Linked DNA regions of Nothobranchius furzeri. The protein of the gene in region 1 interacts with the protein of each later gene in a pairwise test. Links are inferred from orthologs where the notes say so. Each region holds a gene or a part of one and is shown on either strand. Other genes may lie near its edges.

Evidence for each region. The genes of interacting proteins can lie anywhere in the genome.
Region 2: the proteins of wbp11 (region 1) and c11h5orf22 interact in binary tests that used the Homo sapiens proteins (3 or more experiments, as listed by UniProt). The two-hybrid records come from large-scale screens. The link is inferred for Nothobranchius furzeri from reciprocal best matches to the Homo sapiens genes WBP11 and C5orf22.

What each region holds. Positions count from the first base shown.
Region 1 is NC_091752.1:67,489,160-67,493,585, reverse strand, and holds the end of wbp11 (WW domain-binding protein 11), read left to right. Parts: coding exon 1-108; intron 109-2,336; coding exon 2,337-3,007; 3' UTR 3,008-3,280; downstream 3,281-4,426. UniProt on the Homo sapiens protein: Activates pre-mRNA splicing. May inhibit PP1 phosphatase activity.
Region 2 is NC_091751.1:66,277,624-66,282,438, forward strand, and holds part of c11h5orf22 (UPF0489 protein C5orf22 homolog), read left to right. Parts: intron 1-55; coding exon 56-192; intron 193-3,444; coding exon 3,445-3,725; intron 3,726-3,887; coding exon 3,888-3,950; intron 3,951-4,815.

The sequences.
Region 1 (4,426 bases):
CTCCACCAGGTCGACCCCCTGGTCCTCCGCCAGGCCCTCCTCCCGGTCTTCCACCAGGTCCTCCACCCCGCGGACCCCCACCCAGACTACCACCCCCGGCACCACCAGGTAGGTGTATAAAGCTACAAGGAGGTACTGCGTAGTTTAATGGATGTGACTGCACACACCTCAGTGGTCAGCGGTTCCATCAGGACAGGTCTTCTCGTTGCCGGGTTGTCCTCTGTGACTTTTCCAGGTGTTGCATTCAGCTCCGTTTCCAACCAGACGACTCTGTTTCAGGGTAAAGCTCACGAGCCCATGCTTGAAAACTGCTCACCACGCACTCTGTAGCGACACGACAGACCTTCGGACCCGTAAACCCGGGAGCGAGGTGAACGTCGTGCTGCTACCGGCGTCTGTTGTCCCTCAGGCTTGCCGTAGTTAGAGGAGGACGCGCTGGGGTTCATGGGGTTGGAGGTAGAGGAAGGAATGACATTCAGGAAGTAACCCGAGGTTTGGGGATCCAGGCAAAAATGCTTAGAGACACTGTGTGTGTGTGTGTGTGTGTGTGTGTGTGTGTGTGTGTGTGTGTGTGTGTGTGTGTGTGTGTGTGTGTGTGTGTGTAGACACGGAAGTGGCTGGGCAGCCGTGGTGCTGCTCAACAGTGTCCCTCACCAGCAGAATTTCACACGTTTGATTTTCCTGCCACCGCGTGATTGCCAGTCGGGGGCTGGTCGCGAGGCGTTGGTCGCTTTGGTGACCCCGGTATACGACACAAAGCTCAACGCAGAGCTCGGCTCGACCTCCCAGACTGGAGACGAGTGGAAAATTGGTAAAATGGTAAACGGCCTGTATTTGATACAGCGACTTCTAGAGTCCTGGAACCCCCCAAGGCGCTTTACAGTGGCGGCGCCAGGGGGTTGCTAGGGGGCGCTATAGCTACCCCTGGATTAGTCATTGCACCCCCATAGCACCCCCAAGTAAATATTAGATTTATTTTTTTACAATTTAATTTTAATTTAACGTGTGGATGTGATCATATTTAACATACAAAACAAAAATAACCAGTAAATTATCATATAGATAGTAAAAATCTAAACAAAAACAGGTAATTGGTGTTAATCTTTGACCTTATTTTCCACCTGCGAACAAGTGAAAGGTAGAGCTAGGGGTAAAATGGATCGGTTTTTGTTGCCCACATTTCCACGGGTTCAGTCAGAAACGAATGAATGTTTGGAAGTGATCTCAGACCCACAAAAACCTACGGATCTGGATGAAGAGAGCCAACCCTCAACCGCCGCAGCAGTCCAGGGTTTTGCCGCTGAAAATGCGAACGCTAACGTTAGCTAACCTTGCAACACTATAGGTGGTTTTCTGTGTGGCTGTGTGTGTTTATGATTTCATGGAAAAGTCAGCGATTGTTCATAAGTTTATGATGTTTATTAATGATTGTTTCAAGTGTTGTTGAGGTGTTGTGCACGCATGTGTATCTGCTAGTGTTGAAGGTGTTTTAGAGAACAATATGTATGCATGACCACTTCCTTCATAGCACCCTCATTAAAAAGACTAGCTCCTTCATAGCACCTGCAGAAAAACATTTCTGGAACCCCCCCAAGGCGCTTTACAACACAATCAGTCATTCACCCATTCACACACCTCAGGGGGCGCACCGACAGAGGCGAGGCTGCCGAGAACTGGCGCCACCGGTCCCCCCGACCACCACCAGTAGGCATGGTGGGTTAAGTGTCTTGCCCAAGGACGACAGCAACAGACTGAGTGGGGTTCGAACCTGCAACCTTCCGGTTACGGGGCGAGCTCTTCACTCCTGTGCCACCGTCGCTCAAATCGGCTCAGAATGGGCAGAAAATCACACTTTGCTCGTATGCCCGGCTTTAGTGAGCGTGTGTGTCTGGGGGCGGGACTAAAAGCAGGAAGAAGCGGTCCTAAGCGTGAGGTAATCCCTTTTCCTGGGCCTTTTATGAATAATTAGAACCTTTCCGTGCTTTTTTGATCGATTCGTGCTGACTAATGGAGTCGTCCACCCAAAGATCAGTGAGAGAACATTGTCTCTGCATGCGAGTCCTTGTTATGTGTACAGCTAGCTGGTAGCTACTGACCCGGGTGTCCTCCTTTATGCCTGGGTGAATAACTAATGTGATTGGCTCAGACTTGCATTTAGGAGTTGTGCCGGTTATAAACCACCTGCTGTGAATTCAGACAGGAACTGACCCAAAACCACCGCTACAGGGTCTCGTTGGGGTTCTTCTGGTCTAGTGCAATAACGGGGTTCACGCTCACGCAGAGACCAATACTAGCACTGGCTCTGTTCACACGTATGTTTTTGTGATTCTTTTCAGGTATCCCACCTCCCCCTCCAAGAGCAGGAGGGCCCCCTCGTCCTCTTGCACCGCCACTCACCATGTTTCCACCACCGCTCAGCTCCAGTGTGCTCAGCGCGCCGCCCAGCATTGTTCAGAGGCAGAAAGGTCCAGGATCCAGCCAGGATGGTTCACAGGGCAACATGCCCCCCCCTGCCATGTCCATGCGACCCGGGGTCATGCAGATGCCTCCTCCTCCTGGGACAGCCGCTGCTTCCGCGGGGGCAAATCCCGGCGGCCACCACATGGCCACCATCGAAAAACGAGCCAACATCACTTCTGCTGCAGCCGCTGCAGGCGGCCTGGCTGCAGGCGCCGGCGCTGGAGGGGCTACCATCTCCGCCAAACCTCAGATTATCAATCCCAAGGCAGAGGTCACTCGCTTTGTGCCCACTGCGTTGAGGGTGCGCAGAGACAAGACCGGAGCCATGCCAGGGGCAGCAAGCGGACACCTGGAGAAGGTGGGGAGTGCTGGAGGAAGGAGGGGCGATGAAGGCCATGGAGGAGGCCACTGGCAGAAACAGCATGCAGCTGCAGCTTCGCTGGGTTTGGCTAAAGCATCCCAAGGAGGCTCTGTGTCTCAGCCCAGCATGAAGACTAAAGACCAGGTTTATGAAGCCTTTATGAGGGAGATGGAGGGACTGCTCTGAGACTCTGGAGTATCGGACAAATTGTTGTTTTCTCTGGGCTCTTTGAGCTTCAGGAGTGGATCGTTTTTGTGTGTCCAGAATGATAGAAGTAGCTGTATTCAGATCGTTCAACCAAATCAGTCTGGAGAAAATACAGTTATTTATAAATTCACCTGAGTTATGGTTTTTCCAAACAACCAAACACTGTCCTGCACAGAAGTGAATCTTCTCTTACAAGTTTATTTTCTAACAAGTTGTGTTCCTCCGCCATAAAAAGCTGTTTTTTTAATGGTTTTTACTTTTGTTTCTTTTATAGTTATTCATTTGAATGTGAAAACAGGAAAATGTAGAGTATTTGTCCTACAATGGCAAAATCCATGTCTGACAGTTTGAAATGCAGCTAAATAAACACCTGAAAACAACGTTAATCTGTTGTGTTTGATCATCGTGTTGTGTTTCAGACACACCGGCAGTAAGAGGGGATTCATTAGAAGTAGATCAGATTTCATTCTTAACCCAAGTGGACATTAATTGTGCTGAGAAGTAAGTTATGTAGGACAGCAGAGGAACACGTAAACAACAATTCCCATCAGTCCTCGAGGTTTCACGCATGAGCGTTGCAGATCTGGCAGGAGGCGTCATTTGGAATTCTAGGATGTCCAAGGAAGATCTCGCCATTCTCGTCTCTGATTGGCTAGAAAGGCTCTACTACGGCTGGCTATTTCATTTAACAGCAAACTGGCTGTCCTCTAGTGATGGGAATTCCGGCTGTTTTTAGAGAGCCGGCTCTTTCGTCTCCCAAGTGGCTCCTCAGATTTTCTGTTGCGTAGAGTACATTTATAACCAAAATAATGCAAAACTATATATAAAATGATTTACTGATGTAAAAAATGCTATATATCAAATATTTATCATTTCTATGGATTTAATAACTGAACACTTTAACAAATCTCCACTTTCCCACTGCTGGAGCTCATTTTCTCACCGTCTTTGTAGCACTCTCCTCTCTCTCGCTCGCCTTTTTCCTCCTTATTCCCTCTCGTCTCCCTCCACCCGCATGTGCTCTGCTGTGTGTCTGAGTCTGATCCTCCCTCTTCCCCGCCCCTACTGCTCTGTGTGTGGACAAGCTGGACATGCAGTCACACATGTTGACCAATTACCTGTAGCTTTCCCCAAAGCAAGAGGGGAGGGGGGAGGGGACGGCTCCCAATGACGAGCCGGCTCCCGGCGTCGTTCACTTCAAAGATTCGGCTCTTAGAGCCGGTTTGTTCGCGACCGACACATCACTACTGTCCTCGCCAAGTGCAGACTGTCCTGTCACCAGCGGAAAGCTGTTTTGGGGAGTTTAGTAAAGAAAATGTGAACTTAGTGCTATAATAAACATTCTGTCCTGTTAGCAAAATATTTAATGTTTCATTAAAAAAAAATGAAAAATGTAAA
Region 2 (4,815 bases), on another chromosome or scaffold:
CCGATCGACACGTCTCTGTCCTCCTGTTGTCCTGACTGTCCTGGTGTCTCTGCAGGGTGACCAGCACAGACAGCTACTTCCTCAGCGATGGCCTCTATGTTTCTGACCAGCATTTACTCAACTCCAAACCGTTCCGACTCAACGTGGTGAGAGTCAATCCTATCAAACCAGCTCCTGCTTTGGCAACAAAAGGTCAGTCAGTAAACAAATGTGTTGTTTACTATAAATTAAGCTTTGTTCGAAGTTCTTAGGAAGTAGGCCAGGGTTAGATTCAATTCAATTCAATTCAAAAACACTTTATTAATCCCAGAGGGAAATTGATTGCTGTAGTAGCTCAGAATAATAATAATAATCAAGTCACCAAAGAGTTGTTGTATATTACAACGGCTGTTGGCAGGAAGGATCTCCAGTAGCGGTCAGTGTTGCAGCCAAACTGAAGAAGCCTCTGACTGAAGACACTTCCGTTGTCGGACAGTCTTGTGAAGAGAACGCTCAGGGTTGTCCATCATTTTCTTGATTCTCTGGAGAATCCTTCTTTGCATCATCTCCTCCAGCGGTTCCGAAACTGCCGAAACTCTGGCCGAGTCCTTAAAAGGTCTTGGAGTTCCTCCATCTTGTTGGCCAGTGATCTCACATTGTCCATTATGATCGATGGAAGAGATGGTTTGAATTTCCTCTTCCTCGCTCTGCACCCACGCTTCTTGCGTTTTAGCTCATTTGGGATTTGTGGCTTCAGTTGAGGTATTATTTCAGCCTTTCCAATGTTAATCAGCTGCTTCCGATTGTAAACCAGCTTGTTGCCATGGTTACGCATCATAACAAATGCTCAAAATGTGACAAAAGCTGAAAAATAGCAGTAAAAATCCTCCAAGCTTCACAGCACCAGAAACAGAAAAGTAAAGCGTCCCAAAAAAATACAGTTTTTCTTGAGAAACTAGAAGAAAAAATGCCCAAGAAAAGGCTAAACTTACATATAGTCAACAGAGCTACTCCAACATGCAGCCACCCAGAGCAGCGCAGTTCCGGAAAAAAAAGTTGTGTATTGTTGTGTGTTTAGTCAGGAGACTCTAGGAGTCAGAGGAGGCCATGACTCTGATCTTGCTAAGAAAGGGGTGTGTCTTTTTACTTTTGCACCCTCCCCCACGAAAGAGTTAAGTTCCCACCCTGTAACTGCAGCGTTGCTGGTTCGAGCCCCACTCAGTCTGTTGCAGCCATTCTGTCCTTGGGCAAGACACTTCACCCTCTATGCAGTGGTAGTCAAAGGGACAGGTGGCCTTACTTCTGGTACAACGTAGCTCATCACCTCCAGCACGTGAATTGGTGAGTGACTGTTGTGTCGTAAAACGCCTCCAGCTGGTTGCCACCTCCAGAGATTTTTCCGTATTTCAATTCAGTTTTTTTATTTAGCGACAAACCAGGACAGAGTCGTCTCGGGCACATTCCAGTTGAGTTCAGTTCATGATGCCAGTTATAGTTAAAAGTTTCCTTCATAAGGAACCCAGCAGGTGCATCGAGTCTGGGACTCCACAGCTTTCCTAATAGCAAGCATGTCGCGACAGCGGAGAGGAAAACTCCTCTTTAACAGGAAGAACCTCCAACAGAAGCTGGCTCAGTATGAGCCCTAACATTCACATTTAAAGAGTTTTTCTCTGATAATGAACATTAAAAGCACCTATTCTCTCATCCATGGGCATAAAGGAAATTATAAACCAGTAAACTTAATACAAATACATGTGATTAATAGTTTTAATGAAGAGAAAACACGGTTATTATCAGGATTTAGAGAAAAAACACATCAAAAGCTTCAAATAAGGGAGTTTTGATTCTGAAATCTGTAACAAGTGAATAAAACATGAGGTAAAAGCGTCGACCGGAAAAGGGTGGCTTGCCAACTCCGGGTCGGGGGAGAGGTCCTACTTCAAGTGGAGGAGTTTAAGTATCTCGGGGTCTTGTTCACGAGTGAGGGTAGGAGGGATCGGGAGATCGACAGGCGGATTGGTTCGGCGTCTGCAGTGATGCGGACGCTGAGCCGATCTGTCGTGGCGAAGAGGGAGCTGAGCCAGAAAGCCAGGCTCTCGATTTACCGGTCGATCTACTTCCCAATCCTCACCTATGGTCATGAGCTTTGGGTAATGACCGAAAGAACGAGGTCGCGGATACAAGCGGCCGAAATGAGTTTCCTCCGTAGGGTGGCCGGGCTCAGCCTTAGAGATAGGGTGAGGGACTCGGAGTAGAACCGCTGCTCCTCCGGATCGAAAGGAGCCAGTTGAGGTGGTTTGGGCATCTGGTCAGGATGCCTCCTGGATGCCTCCCTGGGGAGGTGTTTCGGGCTTGTCCTGCCGGCAGGAGGCCCCCGGGTCGACCCAGGACACGTTGGAGAGGTTACATCTCCAATCTGGTCCGGGAACGCCTTGGGGTCCTGCCGGAGGAGCTGGTGGAGGTGGCCTGGGAGAGGACGGTCTGGAGCTCCCTAGTTGGGATGCTGCCCCCGTGACCCGGACCCGGATAAGTGGAGGAAGACGAGACGAGTAAAAGCGTATAAACACGAAATAACAGGATCAAAAATGTTCAGGGCGTGCTTTTAGACGGCGCTCTAAGGACCAAACAAGCACCAAGACAAGGACTCTGCAGACTGACCTAGACTTCAACTAGACAATAGCTGCTATTTACTTATTATTGTAAAGACACGTTTCCTTCTTCAAACATGAAATAAACTTTTACAGGAAGTTGTTCCCAGTTTAGTTCTGACACAGAAAATTTGTAGACCATTGGCTTTTGTTTTTATAAAATACTGTTCTATTACAAATGAGTTTTAGGAAAGCAGTTTTACTGTCATTCTCACTAATCATCCATCCATTTTCAGCCGCTTATCCGGTCGGGTCGCGGGGCAGCAGCCCAGACTTCCCTCTCCCCAGCCACTTGGGCCAGCTCCTGTGGGGGAATCCCAAGGAGCTCCCTGGCTAGCCAAGAGACATAGTCCCTCCACCATGTCCTGGGTCTTCCATTAGGTCTCCTACCGGTTGGACGTGCCCGGAAAACCTCACCAGGGAGGCGTCCAACTCAGATACCTGAGCCACCTCAACTGGCTCCTCTTGATGTGGAGGAGCAGTGAATCTACTCCGAGCCCCTCCCAGATGACCGAGCTTCTCACCCTATCTCTAAGGGAGAGCCCAGCCACCCTGTGGAGAAATCTAATTTCAGCCGCTTGTACCCGCAGTCTCGTTCTTTCGGTCACTGCCCAAAGCTCGTGACCACAGGTGAAGGTAGGAACGTAGCTCGACCGGTAAATTGAGAGCTTTGCCTTCCGGCTCAGCTCTCTCTTCACCACGACAGGCCGGTACAACGCCCGCATCCCTGCAGACGCAGCACCAATCAGCCTATCGATCTCGCGCTCCATCTTTCCCTATATTTATCATTGCTTTTCTGTCTGGCTCTGGATTTCAGGGTTTGACACCGAGAGGTGTTCAGCTAAGAGATCTCGGACAGATGAGGACGGGGAGACCAGCTGTTCCTCAGCCCTCTCATCAGGAAGTGTAGCACCACAGCCAGCAGAGGGCAGCAACAGCAAGGAGCAACATCTCAGAGATGGAGACGACCGCGATGGATCAACCAGCTACGTTGTTGAGAGAATAGCTTCAGTTCTTAACGTAGCAGATGCATATGTCCTGGACATTGACTTGGATTTCTTCTCCTGTAAAAATCCCTTTAAGGAGTTGTACACAGAGGTAAGCCTCCCATGCAGCAGATATCAGTGTTGCATCAACAGCTGTGCCCCATCCACGTGTTGGTCTCCCGCTCACTCCTTCCCTCTGTCCCTGTGTCTGTCTTCATGGTGTCCCACTGTAGATCTGAATTAAAGCTGATCCGAGTTCTGTTTGCCTTTCCAGGAAGAATATTCCATTCTTAAGGAGCTCTACAACTTTAGAGGGCCCAGTCTCTGTGCTGATGAGGTCAGAAAAGTCCGTCCTGCTATAAATATACACTCATTCATACAGAGCTGACTAAAACCTGCAACTAGGGAGGTTTCATAATATTCTACCATTAATAGTGATGCAAGAAAATATCTATTTGGCAATATACTGTGATATATTTTCCTGCAATATTATATTGATATTCAAAGATGCAATTTAAATGTCGACCGCAAGTTGGCAGCAGGGTGCAGTGGGTTTTGTTTCCACCACTGAAATGTAAACCCTCTGTTATGGTGCAGATACCTCATGTTAAACATGTTAAGTATCACTGTGGACTGTTTATTCAGTATTCCAACAATAAATTCAGTCTAAAATAATTGCTAATAACATCTGACTGGATGTATACGTATCATATTGCCAGAATTTCACCAATACACATCCCTAACCATTAATATCGGCCAATATCAACATTAATCTTTAAAAAAAAAAAAGTTGACAATAATAATAACCGTCTTGTTTTTAAAAAAATATATCTCGGTGGACTACCGTGGCTGCAGTGTAGGTGCGGTGACCCTTACCAGCCACCGTATCATCTGCTGAAGTTGCCGGCGGCACATGCACACTTTGTTGTTTACAACCAAAACTTTCTTGAAGCTAAAACTGAAATAATGGCTAAAGGAGGAGACGGCAACGCTCAGGGGGATATTTTTCATCCCTCAAAGAAGACAAAGTGGGAAGTACGGGCATTTTTGGATATTTGAAGAATGTCGAGGGACAGCTGATAGAAGACGGCTATCCTGTTTGCAGCACGTGCAGAAAAAGTGTTTGTGAAAGGCAGCAACGCTTCAAATGTCATGACAGTCAACGCAAGGCAAGCTAACGTTAGCGTTTTAGCTAAAATGCG